Arabidopsis thaliana: one gene and its partner. The protein of the gene in region 2 interacts with the protein of the main gene of each other region in a pairwise test. Each region holds a gene or a part of one and is shown on either strand. Other genes may lie near its edges.

Region 1 (6,900 bases), on a different chromosome or scaffold from region 2:
TTATAGTTATGATATGGAAAAGATGGAAGAAGTCATTTAATAAGTTTATCTAACAATCTATGATTAGGTTATCGCAGTAATGAATTTTCTTTCTTAGCAGAAATGAATAATTTAGTCACACTAACTACATAGCTTTAATTTCTGTTGATACAATTGAAGACAAGAAGACATAAACGTTGAAACAGTGTATTTGGTACTGTGTATGTGTTTGATTAGCACGAAACATGGTTAAAAACATCACATGGTTAAAACAAATCCGTCACCATCTGTTTTTTTTTTTTTTTTTACAACATACTTGTTTTCCATTCGTCATATCCGAAAGAGAATAAATTTGCAAGCTCTTCAAATTCATGGTTCGGTATTATAATCTTAAAAAAAATATATAAACTTACAATATAAATAGAACGATAGGTTTGATAAACAATAAAAATAGATGATAGGGGGCCATAAATAAAAACTCGAAAACAAAAGTTAAATAGCAAAATGCAACAAGCAAGCTCATGATGTGTCGAATACACTTCTGCAAACAATTTGGGGGAGATTAAAAATAGTCACTATAAAAAAAATCTTATGACGTTGAGAATCCGTCTTTTGCCTCAAAAATTACCAACACGAACCACATTGAAGCAGCAAGGAACATTGGACGGTTTCTTTCCAGAGGCAGAAACTAAATAGTATATCTCAATAAGAAATTTAACATACGACCAAAATTAATTGCTTTATAAAAATAATTAAAATATTAATGATAACCTTTTCCGTGGTTAATTTTCGGCCATTATGATAAAATAATTGATCCAATCATATGTTTACACAACATACTTAAAATTCCTTATATACTCTCTTGATTACTTTCTTACCAGTTACATAAACTCAATATGCAACAACTAGATTACTTTAATCTAAACGTTCTGATATACGGCCTTATGTCGATGTTAAGTTATATATATCACGTTCACAATGTATATAAATAATTCAAATAATTTTCCAAAAGTAATGGCGTCTAAATATAGTTGAGTTGAATAGTATAGACTCTCCTCATGGATTTGAATTTCCTCTGTGATTCGTTTGAAAAAAAACAATGTTTTGGAGTGCTATACTAGTTGATACACCCAACCAAATCGGAATTTTATAAAAAATTTGGACAAAATTACCAGAAAATAAAATTATTGCAATTTACGTGATATATACCCTAAAGTGTTATGTTTCCTTAAATCGTGTAACGAAACCATAAGTTTCTTATCATGCGGATGTCTGTAGCTCTCGACATATATAGTACCGAACGGGTCCAACGAGTAAATGAATATAACATCAAACGTCAATTTTTCTGTCACATGCCTCGTCTATGCATGCATGATAGTGTACATATATAATAGTTTCCTTTCTGTCTTTTACACTATTCTTAATCCACTTTTCTGTTTTGCATGGGTAGATATTTTGTTTTGGTTTCATAAAATAAATAGAAACCAATATCATTTAGTTTGGTTCGATTTTTCTTCGGATTCTAAATTTTTTTTATTTTATTTTAACTAAACTATATGTTTTATTTATTTTTAGTCATGATTTATTTTATATATCAAAAATATGTAACCGAATTTATTACATCTAGTTTTTTCCAATCACTTTCTTTGGTACAGTTTCGGTTTGACTCAAATTAGTTTAAACCAATTTGGACCACCCTAATTTATACATTTTTTTTTTCAAAGACCCTAGTTCTCTTAATACATTCACCGCACAACTTTTTATAACTATAAATAAGGCCACAAGCATTCACACACATTACACTTTTCTCTCCCAAAGAAACAAAAAAAAAAACTCTTAAGCTAGAACAAGTTTAAAACTCTTCGCTCAGTTTTCGATCTATCTAACAAAAGCATACATGACTACGCCGGAGGGGGCGATGTATGTGGCGTGGGAGGATCTTACGGTGGTGATACCAAACTTCGGTGAAGGAGCAACTAAGAGATTACTGAATGGAGTGAATGGTTGTGGTGAGCCAAATAGGATCTTAGCTATTATGGGTCCTTCAGGTTCAGGCAAATCTACGCTTCTTGATGCTTTAGCAGGTCCCTTCTCTCTCTCTCAGACACACACACCCATACATGTCAAGATTAGCTCGTCGTTTTTATTATGTATTTCTTTTATTGTTAAATGGTTTTCCTCTATTATATAAATCTCAAATAAGCTGAAGCAACATCGACCAACAATTAAAAGATATAGTTTTTAGAGGAATTTAACAACCAACCACATTTAGCTTTGAAACCAACATTAAAGGATGAGACTTACCCACTTTGAACCTAGTATTTAGTGAATCGTTCTATGTACTCTATATATATATATATATAACTATAATTAACAATATACATGACGTTATGTCTTTCTTTTAAAAAATTGTCCAAGGAAACTTTCTCAATATACTATGTAAAAAGTGTTTCACTTTTGGAAAATAAGAAATTTCTGTTTTCTTACATTAAAAAATATTCACAAATCTTTTAGTAATTTTTATTTGGAATTGATAAGGATTTCTGCCATTCGTAGTTAAATTTGAGAATATAAGTTAGAATTTATTTGTTAGATATATATATATATATATATATATAGGTGTATGTCTGTGCGTGGGTGGGTGTGTGTCCTATTCAACATAAAATATTTAATTATTATTAACCTGTAAATTCGTATGTAATCAAAATTAACTAATATGATACTTGATTAGTTTTTTGTATATTGGAAAAATACATTACTACAATAAAATTGATAACTTTCCTATTTGAAAGCAACAAACTATGTACATACTGTATCAGTATCACAATTTGGTGAAATGAAAATATTAACTGAAGTTTTTGTACTCTTCTGTAATTTTTTTTTTTTTTCTTCTGTAACTTTGACCAAACGTAACATATATATATGTAAAAGAAATTTGAGAGCATGATATAACATATTTATGTATCAAGATATTTATAACTATTGAAAAACAGTGCTATATTTATATCTAAGTTTCATGTACACGATGAGACATATATAGATATTTCTAACTTTATATTTATGGATTCTAGCTACCAATTTTATTTTTTAAGTATAGCTATATACTATCGGAGTACTAAATAAATATTAAAAAAAAAATAGTTGCAATTTTCATGTTCTTAATTAATAAATTTACATCGTCGTACATTTAGTATTGAATAAATTGATAGTTACGTTTCTCTAACGTAGACTATGTACAGAAATTTTGCAGTAACATTTCTTATTAAATCATATTTTAAATGTTAACCAACTACCAATCACCAATATTCTGACACAAATATTTAGGATTGCACGATCGTATCTTCATACCGACTTGCGATCTCTTCACAAGTTGAACCCGGTTTGGTGACTGGTCGGACTCTTTGAGGGATGTTACGTTCAATCCAAAAACAATCCAAATCGATTATTATTTTCTTGACCAAACCTAAATTTGATTGGATTAAGAAGATCTTTATTTTATGCTTATGACTAATCGAAACCAATTTAATTTTACTGTGGCTAATATTCTTGTAAAAGCGAAAAACCCAAAACCGGGTTATAAGATTGTTCTATCAATGCTATAAGATTGTTCAAAAACATGAAAGATTTAACATCTAACATTAAAAGGTAAATTTGGTGATGGTACAGGAAGATTAGCAGGGAATGTTGTAATGAGTGGCAAAGTACTTGTCAATGGCAAGAAGAGAAGACTTGACTTTGGTGCTGCCGTAAGAAAATTTATCTTTTCTCTTTAGTTTTTACCCTTTTACACAATCAAACTATTATTATTCATGAATGTCCTAAACTCTCAGGCTTATGTGACGCAAGAAGATGTGTTGCTAGGAACTTTGACAGTGAGAGAATCCATATCTTACTCGGCTCATCTCAGGCTCCCTTCAAAGCTTACCAGAGAAGAGATCAGTGACATTGTGGAAGCTACAATCACTGACATGGGTCTTGAAGAATGTTCAGACAGGACCATTGGAAACTGGCATTTGCGTGGAATAAGCGGAGGAGAGAAGAAACGGCTTAGTATTGCCCTCGAGGTCTTAACAAAACCAAGTCTCCTCTTTCTAGACGAACCAACTAGTGGACTGGACAGTGCTTCAGCTTTCTTCGTGGTTCAGATTCTTAGAAACATAGCAAGCAGTGGCAAAACTGTGGTTTCTTCGATCCATCAGCCGAGTGGTGAGGTTTTCGCCCTCTTTGATGACCTGCTACTTCTGTCTGGAGGAGAAACTGTTTACTTTGGCGAAGCAGAATCTGCAACAAAGGTAATAAGATAGAGCATTGGCAAGAGTATATAACCATTATGCTCATTTGTGTTGTTGTTGCTTCGACATTGCAGTTCTTTGGTGAAGCAGGTTTTCCTTGTCCAAGTAGACGGAATCCATCAGACCACTTCCTTCGCTGTGTCAATTCCGATTTCGATAATGTCACAGCGGCTTTGGTTGAATCTCGGAGAATCAACGTTTGTTTTCCTCTGCCCTTCTTGTTTTTTCATGAACTTACAATACTCTCAAGCTTTTGACCTCGACCTTTTACATCTGCAGGATTCATCTTTCTCTCTTCACCAACTACATGAAACTACAAACACATTAGATCCTCTGGATGATATACCAACTGCAGAAATTAGAACAACACTTGTCAGAAAATTTAAGTGTTCACTTTATGCAGCAGCTTCAAGAGCAAGAATTCAAGAAATAGCATCGATAGTAAGTTACGGTTACTACTTCCCTTAAAACTACAATGTATCACATAATGAGAGTCTCATAAGCACAGTTATAAACCTTGTGCAACAGGTGGGGATTGTCACAGAAAGGAAAAAGGGGAGCCAAACTAATTGGTGGAAACAACTCAGAATACTTACTCAGCGATCTTTCATCAACATGAGTAGAGACTTGGGGTACTACTGGATGCGGATTGCAGTCTACATAGTGTTATCCATTTGTGTCGGGTCAATCTTCTTCAACGTCGGGAGAAACCACACAAATGTTATGAGTACTGCAGCTTGTGGCGGATTTATGGCAGGCTTTATGACATTCATGTCAATAGGAGGATTCCAATCCTTCATTGAAGAAATGAAGGTAAAGAGCTAAACAGAGAAAAATTCTCTTTCTTCACCTAAAAACTTATCTTATGTTTTAGCATCTTTATTCCTGAAAACAGGTGTTTTCTCGCGAAAGGCTCAATGGACACTATGGGGTTGCAGTATACACTGTGTCTAATTTACTCTCCTCATTACCTTTCATAATCCTTATGTGCCTCTCCACCAGCTCAATCACTATCTACATGGTGAGGTTCCAATCCGGAGGTTCTCATTTCTTCTACAACTGTCTCGACCTTATCTGCGCGATTACAACTGTGGAGAGTTGCATGATGATGATAGCTTCAGTAGTCCCTAACTTCTTGATGGGAGTCATGTTGGGAGCTGGTTACATTGTAAGAGTGGCCTCTGTCGCTCTTTCACCTACAAGCTTTCTTATATCTCCAAAAACTATTCTAAATTGAAAACCGCTTTATCCTTCATCTCATAGGGAATTATGGTGTTAAGTGCGGGGTTTTTCCGATTCTTCCCCGACTTACCAATGGTGTTCTGGCGATACCCGGTGTCCTACATAAACTATGGTGCATGGGCACTACAGGTAACCAGGTTTTCTCAACTTTAAGATGCAGACTATATCGTCAAGTAGCTATCTTAAATGAGCATACCTGATAAATTGCAGGGAGCATACAAGAATGAGATGATTGGGGTGGAGTATGATTCTCCGTTACCCTTGGTACCAAAAATGAAAGGAGAACTCATTCTTCAAACTGTTCTAGGCATAAATCCAGAAAGTTCAAAGTGGTTGGATCTAGCAGTTGTGATGATGATTCTCATTGGGTATAGGATTGCCTTCTTCGCCATCCTCAAGTTCCGGGAAAAGGTTTTCCCAGTTATTCACATGTTATACACAAAGAGAACTCTGAGCCATATCCAGAAAAGGCCTTCTTTCAGAAGAATGACACCTTTCCCTTCCAGGCGATACCCTGTTCACCATGCTCTCTCTTCTCAGGAAGGACTTAACTCTCCACTGCATTAGAAGCATATACAGCAGGATGCAATTTCCATATATTTCAATATGTCAGATGTCACTCTCTTCAAACTTGATAAACTGTTTGTAGCCCGTTGTGTAAGGAAAAAAAAAAGAAAAGAGAGATACTATCATTCTGACTAATGAGATTTGTTTAGCATGAGGATGGTATCTATCAGAGATACATATATTGGAGAAAAAAGATAAGCATGGCTACATTATCAGATTACAAGTGATGCATGCATGAACCCCTAAGAGAGAGTCTACCAACGAACCACCGTAAATATATCAAATAAGGCACTTCGTTTGCTAACATAGCTTCAGAAGAAACTGTGTTATGGAAATCAAATAAACAGAAGATGGTATGGAGATTTGTTACCTGGCTGGCAGTAGAACACTGGTCCTTGCTTGATAGCACCAGTGACGCAAATCTATAATCTGTGCAGCACAAGAACAGAACAGACCAGGCATATTTGACTTTTATCACTAAGTGCCATGAAATCTCCTCTTTTAGCATATAGTTGATAGGGAATAGAATCAAAACTAACAAAAGTAACCTCCCAAAGGCGTTTGTTGAACAGATAGAGAACAAACAACGAGATACTTAAAACCTTAAAAGTGTAAAACCAAGCAAAAATGGTAAATTTTCAACTTTGGGAACCCAAATATAAGCTCCCAGAAATATTACATAGTAAGGAAAAAAAATACACAAACAATCAATAACTTTAAACAAATATGGCTAATCCAGTTGTAAAATCAGAAAAAACCAGTCTGATTATTTTAGAGTAGACATGTACAGAACTCATTTGTTGTTCATTTGCTACCCTAT
Region 2 (3,479 bases):
TATATATGTTTTGTTTCACAATAACTAAAAAAATAAGTAAAAGTAGAAACAACAGATATGTAAGCTCTATAAGTAGTAGGAAAAATGTAATTAAGGATCCAAAATAATAATATTTATATTTTATTTGCAACCGAAAATTTTATAGACAACTCGCATTGAAAATGTTCTCAACTTGTTTTTATAGGAGGCAATACTTCTTGCGGTAGGGTTCAATTATATTGGTGCTCAATCAGGGAATTGTCCGATGCCATTTTCCAGTGGAATTTGATAGAAAATTTAAAATTAAGCATCAAAAAGTTGTCTGATGGCATTCATCGGAGTTGTCTTGAATCACCATTTTTCCGTTTCATCTCCTAACGTCTGTTTTTCACTTAAAAAGTCTCCAATTCCAGTATAACTTCGTAAAACTTGTACAAAACAACCGAAAAATACATTAAAAACGAACAAAAATGTGACAAACAACTCAAAACAAACACTAGACAAAGGACATAAGACACTAAAAACACAATATACCACATACAATTTTGGAGACACCCGCACACCGCTCTTCACCTCTTGGACTGTCAGTAACATTATGACATGACTATAGACATTACATTCACTTTCATGAAATTTACAACTACTCTTTGGATTTGGGTTGCAGAAAGATGCATACAGTAAAACAGCTCCATCAACCTCTTATGCTCATGTTTCATGCACATAAGTACTCAATTAGCCATAGGTGGAAGCTTAGACCCTGTTTCGACTTTCGAGTAGCTCGGATATATATGCATTATATCACATATCCCTTAGCACCATATTTTCTAATTTAATTTACAATATCACTCATTGCCACAAGTGTATAAAAACCATAGCAATAGAAGGGTATCAAAGTTCAAGTAACCAATTAAATTAGAACACTAGAAATACATTCTATCATCCAATCTAAGCAATCAAGTTAAATCATTAGAACAATATTGAACTACCGCCGAAGTAAGATCTCGTCTACCGGAGATATTGTCAGATTCTTGCCTCCGTTTTGTATTTGTTGTTTTGATTTGTAAAACTTTGGCTCAAGTCCAATTCAGGTATTATAATATTTTTAAAAAAAGAATATTGAACTATTAATAAAATCTTAACATTTTCTGTTGGTCCCTAGTACTTTTGATGGGCTCTCTATATCTTCGCTTTTGTATGTTTGAAGCATTAAGGCCGAATTCATTTAAAACTCAACTTCTATACCAAAAATTTTATTTTAAATTTTATGTAATTAAAATAAACTAACCAATTTTTTAAAAATTACTATTTTAATCACATATAAAATTAAGTTTTAATTTATCTTTCTATACAAAAATATCATCATTAATGAAATTAACTAATTTATTATATTTTTTTAATCATTTTTTCACTTATAAATTTTATCTAAAACTGAATCGATTAATTTCTTATATCTCTAAAGATATCCGTATGGTAACAAAATTGACTCCAAACATTTCTTAAGTCGATTTCTAAAACCGCTCCAAAAGACCATTGTGCATTAAAAATACTAAAAATCTAAAATTTAAAATATTCTCAATAACAAACATTTACGAACCACTGAATTTTATTTTATTTTAAAAATAATCTATAACATAATAATTGTTTTATCTGTTTTCTAACACAAATTATTCTAAATACATGATTGAAATACATTTCTAAATTGGCGTTTTATAGACTATAGTATTTTGACAACTTTGTTTTCAATATTGGCGTTTCATTATTTTGGTGAAAGATTCCCAACTTATAAAAAAAAAAAACGAATTTTTAATTTTCGTCCTAATCATTTATTTCCTAACCAAAGAAAAAGGCAAATCGCGACCCGTCTCTCTCTCTCTCTCTCTCCTTGAAATCGAAAGATCAAAAAAGCGACACTGAAAATGGAAAATCGGTCAGAAATGGGTAACCGGAGGCAGCAGAATCTCTTCGTCATAGCTTCTCCCGACGAGATTGCTAAGATCCATCGAGCCGAAACTTCCAAACAAGGTCTCTTCTTCTTTCTCCGTCTCTCTCTCTCTTTTTTCCCCTAAAAAAAATCTTTTAAATTGATGACTTTGGATTATGTTACAGCCGGAGCTATTGCCGGAGCTAAGGCCGCCGCCGTTGCCGCCGTCGCCAGTGCGATTCCCACAGTAATCATATAATCTCACTTATCTAAATTTTTTAAATTGAGATCTTAAATGAATTAAATGTAAGAGTTATGTTTCTTTGTTGTTGAATTTTAAGACAAAAGTGACTCACCAATCTCATGTTCTGTAATAATCAAGAGTTTCAATTTTGTTACCTATTCATTTTGTGATTTCTGAATACACCAAGTAGAGTCACATTCTTTTTGATGTGTATATAAGATATGAATTTGGTACATAAGCATGCCTTGTTTTCGTAACAGGTAGCTGCCGTTCGTATGTTCCCGTGGGCTAAGGCAAACCTCAACTACACTGCTCAAGCACTCATTATTTCTTCAGGTTAGCTCTATCAGCAATATGCCTTAAATCATTACTATATGTTCTTCCTGGAACTAAGTAGAAAAAAGATACTAGCTTTAACATTGTTGTAGAAACCTCGAACTTCCCTTTTGAACCTAGTTGAGTTTGGGGTTTTTAAGTATTCGTACATTCATTTCTCCACAATTTTCTTCTGATTTCTATCTTGTGATTATGGTGATCATTGGAACAGCTTCTATCGCTGCGTTCTTCATAACCGCGGATAAAACGATTCTACAAGGCGCAAGAAGAAACACCGAGGCTCAGTTAAAGAAAGTTCAGCAAGACTCTAAATAATTTCTCTTCTTATTGTAACACAAATCAATCATCATCTTTCTCTGTTTTGTATGCATATTTTGCCTTGATTCTTAATAAGAGTGTTATTATTATAAGGAATAACAAATTCTTTAAGACCATTTTTTATTCAGACTTTCAGATTTTGTTCTCAAATAAGTTACAAGCTGGTAGTTATACTCTTAACTAAAACTTTGCTTACACAAAAACTAAATGGTTTCTAATACATTTGTACATTTCACAAAAAAAACAACATCAAGTGTTGTGATTATTTGATTATACAAAACCTAAATCTTCATCTTCTACCCTTTTACTTGTCCTTCGACCCGATAAACTAACTAGTAGAGGTGCCTCATATGCCTCTGTTGCAGTCTTCTTCGTCGCCTCAAGTCCTTGTTGGCGCAGAACATACAAGACCTCTTTCATGGAAGGTCTATGACTAGGCAATGTGTTAGTACACATGAGACCTAGCTTGAAAACTGTTGTCATCGCCTCAGTCGTGGAAGCTTCTTTGATGTCCTCATCAAACGCCTCTGCGGTCGGTTTTCCAGATTGGTAATGTTTCCATGACCAATCTGCTAAGTTTGTGTGTTCATCTCCGTTGTTTCCTTCTCTTCCAGTCACCAGCTCTAGCAAAACTACCCCGAAGCTGTACACATCGATCTTCTCATCTACCTTTGACGTATA

Evidence for each region.
Region 1: the proteins of AT5G25940 (region 2) and ABCG13 interact in a protein complementation assay, tested with the Arabidopsis thaliana proteins (one large-scale study listed by BioGRID).

Annotation. Positions count from the first base shown.
Region 1 is NC_003070.9:19,076,312-19,083,211, reverse strand, and holds ABCG13 (ABC-2 type transporter family protein), read left to right. Parts: upstream 1-1,760; 5' UTR 1,761-1,876; coding exon 1,877-2,063; intron 2,064-3,645; coding exon 3,646-3,725; intron 3,726-3,809; coding exon 3,810-4,271; intron 4,272-4,345; coding exon 4,346-4,468; intron 4,469-4,550; coding exon 4,551-4,712; intron 4,713-4,799; coding exon 4,800-5,084; intron 5,085-5,166; coding exon 5,167-5,439; intron 5,440-5,534; coding exon 5,535-5,642; intron 5,643-5,723; coding exon 5,724-6,080; 3' UTR 6,081-6,374; downstream 6,375-6,900.
Region 2 is NC_003076.8:9,053,568-9,057,046, reverse strand, and holds AT5G25940 (early nodulin-like protein), read left to right. Parts: upstream 1-1,791; 5' UTR 1,792-1,895; coding exon 1,896-2,001; intron 2,002-2,085; coding exon 2,086-2,147; intron 2,148-2,404; coding exon 2,405-2,480; exon of another isoform or gene 2,481-2,691; coding exon 2,692-2,795; 3' UTR 2,796-2,925; downstream 2,926-3,479. Other genes in the region: AT5G25930 (kinase family with leucine-rich repeat domain-containing protein), read right to left, coding at 3,069-3,479.